2 linked regions of the Sus scrofa genome follow. The protein of the gene in region 1 interacts with the protein of each later gene in a pairwise test. Links are inferred from orthologs where the notes say so. Each region holds a gene or a part of one and is shown on either strand. Other genes may lie near its edges.

Region 1 (2,948 bases):
ACTCAGTTGGATGATTGCTGGCTCCAGAAGTTACAGCCGGGTACCATACATGGTGTGCCAGCTGGTTATTGTAAACCAGCTGACGCCATAGCACACAGAATGAGGGTTTAGATAATGTATATAAAAATTGTCCAGTCATGGACAGGTTTCCCTCGCAGCTGTCGTGTCCCCTTTTTGGCCTCTGACTTGCACACCGCCGAGGCGTCCTGGCAATGTTGGGATTCCACATCGTGCACCCGATCAAGGCTGGGAAAGAGGGGTAGGGACCCCACTGCGGAGTATTGCTCACGTCCCCAAGTATGATTCCCAGGGATACCCTGGCCTGTTCCCCACTCGAGGGATCCATGTTTGTTGGGTGTAAGAGGCTTCCCCCCGCCCCCAGGGCTCCTACCCTCTCTGCTCAGTGCCCCCTCCAGGTGCAAACCCGCCTCCTTGAGGTACCTGCCACACCAGGGGGAGTTCTGTCCACCTAAGACTCTGCCCTGAGCTGCTGCCTCTTTAGGAAGCACAGCCCGTTGTGGTTGCTTCGCAGTGTGTGTGTCTGTGTATTTGAACATTTCTTTCCTCCCTAGATCTGAATGGCATAGATTTAACTCCTGTGCAGGACACTCCTGTGGCTTCGAGAAAAGAAGATACATACGTTCATTTCAATGTGGACATTGAGCTCCAGAAGCATGTTGAAAAATTAACCAAAGGTTTGTGGTGCTAAAAGTGGACCCAGATTCCGAATCTGACTCTTCGTTTTCTCCAGCTTTGACTCTGTCGTGTACCGTGACGGTCGTTTTAACTGCGACTGATGCTGTCGATGAGCCTTTTTGTTTACAGGCAGTTCAGGGACTGTCCCTGCTGTTCTCACTTGGCATTTTGTTCTCATAAATGTCCTTGAAGTACAGAGCTATGCCCCCCGGGAATGCAGGAAATAGATTATCTACAGATGATGCAGATGGATAATAAAAAAAAATTTAACTTCTTTAAAATGATGGTATCATATTTGGACTTTAATGTTTATCTTTTAATTTTTTATTTAGTTTCGTTTTTTGCTTTTTAGGGCCTCACTTGTGGCACATGGAGGTTCCCAAGCTAGGGGTCAAATCAGAGCTACAGCTGCCAGCCTACCCCACAGCCACAGCAATGCGGGATCCAAGCTGCATCTGCGACCTACACCACAGCTCAGGGCAACGCCAGATCCTTAACTTGATGATTGAGGCCAGGAATCAAACCCACATCCTTATGGTTCCTAGTTGGATTCGTTTCTGCTGCGCCACAACAGGAACTCCCTAATGTTGTTTTCAAATTGATTTTATTTTCACATTTATTCAGACCTCAGACATAGTCATGATGACAAGAATCCTGTAGCTGAAGAGACTAAGAAATGTGATCTGCTATCCTTTGGTTCCTTTTTTTAAAAATTATTTATTTATTTTTGTCTTTTTAGGGCCTCACCTGTAGCATATGGAGGTTCCCAGGCTAGGGGTCTCATCGGAGCTGTAGCTGCCAACCTACACCACAGTCACAGCAATGCCAGATCCTCAAACCACCTGAGTGAGGCCAGGGATCGAACCCACCACCTCATGGTTCCTAGTGGATTCGTTAACCACTGAGCCACGACGGGAACTCTGTGATCTGCTGTCTTAAAAATCCGTGAGGTTTTTTAAAAAATAAAATGCCTCCCTTATTGTCACAAAAGGGAGAAGAGACGTTCCTCCCTTGTGGACATGGCAGGGTCATACACCTGGGGACAGAGGGCACCAGTAAGCCGGCCGTCGTGCTCCTTTGGTGCCTGTGAGCAGCAGAGCCAACACGCCCGTCTCTCCCCTGCCCGCATCCTCTGTCTCCTGGGCCGGTGGTTTTTCTCTCCTCCCCTGATTGGAGAAGCGCTGGCTCCATTTGGCCCCAGGCGCCAGGGCTGCGCACCCTGACGAGCACTGTTGAACGTCTGGTCACTCTGAGTGTGATCCGCAGGGAAAGTACTGATGTGTGCTGACCGTCTGGAGGGCAGAGCCGGATCCAGCACTGCTCCGGCGAAGGCCGTGTCACTAAGTCGCCAGTCCAGAGCGAGCCCCTGGCTTCCTTGCGTCCCCCCGTGTCCCTCTAGAGATGAGTTGCCTTGGCTGCGTGGATGAGGCAATTTCTTCTTCCCGTTTTGGCTTTTTCTTTGGGGAGGTGGAGCGCGCTCATCTGCTGTGCTTTGGGGGAAAGAAAACTGAATTTTTCGTCACCATTTGCTCACTGGGGAGGGTGCAGGACACCCCTGCTCCTGAAACCCTCGTCCTCCATCGCCCCGTCTTTACGCCAGCGCGCCTCATTCCAGGCAACAGCGGGACTTGGACGCTGGAAAAGCTATCAGGAAATAGGTAACATTTGAAAGCTGAGCCAGTGCATGATTTATGTAGTTTGAACTCAAAACACCGCCAAAATTGAACTTTTGAGTTTTTATTTCAAACGGAAGAGAAACCATTTAAGCTTGGATTTTTTTCTGATTTTTTTTTTTTTTCTCTTTTTTTTAGGGCTGCACCTGAGCACTTGGAGGTTTCCAGGCTAAGGGTCAAATCGGCCTACACCACAGCCACAGCAACGCCAGATCCGAGCCGTGTCTGCGGCCTACACCACAGCTCACGGCAATCCCACATCCTTAACCCACTGATCGAGACCAGGGATCGAACCCGCAACCTCACGGTTGCTAGTTGGATTTGTTTCTGCTGAGCCACGACAGGAACTCCTAAGCTTGGATTTTCTGAAGAACTCTTTTGTGTGCCTTTTCTACTTAGAGTGTCTGCGAGTAATGTTCATACTTAGGCATCGTCCGTGTTCTTTTTGGAATGGTTAGTTACTCTCTGCTCCTGATGGTTCATAACTACACCTCATCCACATCCTGGAGTTTGCCGGCTCAAGACGTTTTGCTCTACTTTGTAGACCTGGGTCTGGGGACATGTCCCTCGGTTCAGAAA
Region 2 (3,752 bases), on another chromosome or scaffold:
GGGGTTGAATTGGAGCTGTAACCACAAGCCTACGCCACAGCCGCAGCCTCGAGAGGATCTGAATGGAATCTGCGACATACATCACAGCTCACAGAAACGCCAGATCCTTAACCCACTGAGTGAGGCCAGGAATCAAACCCACATCCTCATGGATACTAGTCAGGTTTGCTACCTTTAAGCCACAACAGGAACTCCTAGGTTCAGTTCTTTTAAATATTTTGAAAGTATTTATCACCATCACCTAAAGTGTTCTTCATAAATCATTTTTCTTCATAGGAAAAAAAGAACAGAGTATATTTTAACCCTGAGTTCATTCATACCTTTGGTTGTTCCCACAAAGTAAGGCCATCAGCATCCACATCCTTGGAAGTTTGTTAGAAATGCAGAATCTCTGGCCCTATCCCAGACCTGCTGAACCAGAGAAATGCATTTCAACAAGATCCCCAGGTAATTCACGCGAACATTAAAGTCTGAGAAAGCCCTGCTCTATGCGAGTCTACCATGAGCCTGAAGAATAAGATAGAACGTCTTGGAGTTCCCGTTGTGGCTTAGCGGCTAACGAACCTGATTGGCAACCATGAGGACGCGGGTTCGATCCCTGGCCTCGCTCAGTGGGCTAAGGATCTGCAGAGGCGGCGGGGCTCGGATCTGCCGTGGCTGTGGCTGTGGCTTAGGCCGGCGGCTACAGCTCCAATTGGACCTCTAGCCTGGGATCCTCCATATGCAGCGGGCGCGGCCTAAAAAGGCCAACCCCCCCCCACCCCCAAAACAACAAAGACAGAATGAGAATGTCTTACACTGAATCTTTCTAAAAGTGCACTATCTATTCCTAGCTGACAATTTAAAAATACCAATAAGATTCTGTAATTTAAAAAAAATTCAAAACTCAGTAACAGTTCGTTTTAGTAGATTATACTCATAGATACTTCACAGACTCGTGGAATTCTGGAGTTGGAACAAACCTTTTAGTAAAGCCCGCCTTGACCCAAACGCAGAGACCCAATGGGTCCGCTCCCCGCTCACCCGCTACCGCGGGAATTGGAAACTGGTCGCGTCTCACTGACGTCAGCAGTGCGCGCCCTCGCCGCTGCAGTTCGCCCGGCGTGTGAGTCCTGTGGTTCTAGGTTCTCAGTAAGTCGGACGCACCGGAGCCGAAGTCGCTCAGGTTTCGAAGCCCTTGGCGTCACAGGCTCGGCGACATGTCGATGCTGGCTGAGCGTGAGTGCTGGGCGCGGAGGGTGGACCACGGCCCATGGGTGAGGGTTCCGGATAACGCGACGGCCGGACCGTGTGGCAGGGGCGCGGGTTGCTGGCGCGCCAGTGGATCGGGAGATTCCGGGAGCCGGGGTCCCGGAAGCCCGGTTTGGCTGGCCCTGGCTGCCGAACCCAGCCCAGCCTTCCCCGAGTTAGCTATATGTCTGCTGGTGAGAGACTTTGAGGGTCCACTTGGGACGCTCGTCTTCACTCTCGGACCCGGGCACTCGCGCGGTAAATTCGAACGGGAGTCAGGACGCCGGGTGTGGGAACCCAGACTGGCTATTTCACTTCCCTAGGCCTCAGCTTCCTCTGGATAAAAGAGGCGGTTGGGCTAGTGAAATCCTGTTCTCGATGTATTGAAGCCAGAGAAAGAAAAGCAAAGGAGTTTGAAACAGCAAACACTGGAAGTTGGCGTTTTTTAGGGGAGGCAGGGCTAATGAGTGTTTTTAAGTAAGATTGTGGCAGTTTTGATGTTTTTAGTTGGAATTATGAACACTTCTTTTAGAGAAGTTTTGGCTGCAACGCCCGTCATGCCTCATTTGCCTTTGACATTTACGGTCACTTGGAGTGAAACTGGTTAATTCCCTCCATCTGGAGAGGCTTTTTAACTTCTGAATGCTACCTGTAGCTAAGGCCGCCGGCCACCAGATGGCAGTCGTGCGTTGGTCATGAAAAGCCGGCCGGTAACTTTCTTGAAAGCGAACTAGGAGCAGAAACAGCATGTTTATCAGATCAACAGCCATTGCGCAGGGGTGCCATGAAGTAAATGCTGTCGGCATCCTCTAATCTAAGAGGGTAGGGGAAATGGAAGCACAAGATGAAGTGGGTAAGGCAGCATTCAAATTTTAGAGGGGCAGAGATTGAGGTTCAGAGGAAATATAATGCAGCTTAAGTCATGGAGGTAAAAAGTGACAAAATTCATCTAGTTATATATCTTTACGTTCTTGTCACTAGAGTCAGCAATCTTCTATTTTCTTTTTTTAAATAGAGACTTACAGAAGAGAGTATGTTTTAGACTGTGACCCTACTACCTCTATTTTCTCATTTGTATATCCAGCGTGGCTAATATCTCCTGGTTTTAATGTTCTTTGGTGTAAGCTTAGTTCAGCATACACTTGGGAGCGTTGGCCCTGGCTCTGCCATTCATTTATGTCTCTTTCCATAATCAGTTTCCCTAGAGCTATTAAAAATTTCTTTGAGGAGTTCCTGTTATGGCGCAGTGGAAACAAATCGGACTAGTTTCCATGACGATGCCGGGCGGGGCGGGGGGGGGGGGTCCATCCCTGGCCTTGCTCAGTGGGTCGGGGATCCAGCATTGAGCTGTGGTGTAGATCGCAGACGCAGCTCTGATCCCGCTTTGCTGTGTAGTAGGCCGGCAGCTGTCGCTCCCATTCGACCCCTAGCTTGGGAATTTACATATGCCACGTTGTAGCCTTAAAAAAGAAAAAATGGAGTTCCCGTCGTGGCGCAGTGGTTAACGAATCTGACTGGAAACCACAAGGCTGCAGGTTCGATCCCTGGCCTTGCTCAGTGGGTAAAGGGTCCGGCGTGGGCATGAGCTGTGGTGTAGGTTGAAGACGTGGCTCGGATCCTGCGTTGCTGTGGCTCTGGCGTAGGCCGGCAGCTGCAGCTCCAATTAGACCCCTAGCCTGGGAACCTCCATATGCCGCGGGTGCGGCACTAGAAAAGGCAAAAAGACAAAAAACAAAAACAAATTTCTTTGATTATGTTCATCACTAGATTGGCTTAAAAAAATCAATGATATGGTGAAGATGAAAACAGTTAAAAGTATATAAAGTGATAACGCCGTTGTGAAGTTCCATATGTGGACATCAGTAATTCAGATTGCTTGATCTGAAGAAAATATTTTCAGTTCTCCTCTCCCCACCCTGACTCCAGATTTTCAAATCTTTGGAATGATAATATATATTTTGGTTATTTTGTTATTATTATTATTATTATTTTTTTTGGTCTTTTTGCCTTTTTTAGGGCCGCTCCTGTGGCATGCAGAGGTTCCCAGGCTAGGGGTCTAATTGGAGCTGCAGCCACCGGCCTACGCCAGAGCCACAGCAACGTGGGATCCAAGCCATGTCTGCAACCTACACCACAGCTCATGGCAATACTGGTTCCTTAACCCACTGAGCAAGGCCAAGGATCGAACCTGCAACCTCATGGTTCCTAGTTGGATTCGTTAACCACTGTGCCACGATGGGAACTCCCATATTTTGGTTATCTTTTTAAAAATTTGCTAAATTAATGTTTATGGCATCTTTTCTAATTAGATACTTAGAACTGGTTTTCTTATTTTAGAAATGAGAAAACAAAAGCATAAAAAAGTCCCAGTCCCATTATTTCATTACCTAGGAATTATTTTATCTGATAGTTTATAAAATTGGGGCAATTCTGTAGGTATGGTTTTATAATTTTTTCTTCCTAATTAATGTTAGTGAACATTTTTTCTAAATTAGGTAGACTATTTCCTTTGTTTTCTCTTG

The links.
Region 2: the proteins of AIDA (region 1) and PINX1 interact in binary tests that used the Homo sapiens proteins (3 or more experiments, as listed by UniProt). The link is inferred for Sus scrofa from reciprocal best matches to the Homo sapiens genes AIDA and PINX1.

What each region holds. Positions count from the first base shown.
Region 1 is NC_010452.4:11,432,979-11,435,926, reverse strand, and holds part of AIDA (axin interactor, dorsalization-associated protein), read left to right. Parts: intron 1-572; coding exon 573-695; intron 696-2,948. UniProt on the Homo sapiens protein: Acts as a ventralizing factor during embryogenesis. Inhibits axin-mediated JNK activation by binding axin and disrupting axin homodimerization. This in turn antagonizes a Wnt/beta-catenin-independent dorsalization pathway activated by AXIN/JNK-signaling.
Region 2 is NC_010456.5:14,039,148-14,042,899, reverse strand, and holds the start of PINX1 (PIN2/TERF1-interacting telomerase inhibitor 1), read left to right. Parts: upstream 1-1,059; 5' UTR 1,060-1,199; coding exon 1,200-1,218; intron 1,219-1,589; exon of another isoform or gene 1,590-2,061; coding exon of another isoform or gene 2,062-2,083; intron 2,084-3,752. UniProt on the Homo sapiens protein: Microtubule-binding protein essential for faithful chromosome segregation. Mediates TRF1 and TERT accumulation in nucleolus and enhances TRF1 binding to telomeres. Inhibits telomerase activity. May inhibit cell proliferation and act as tumor suppressor.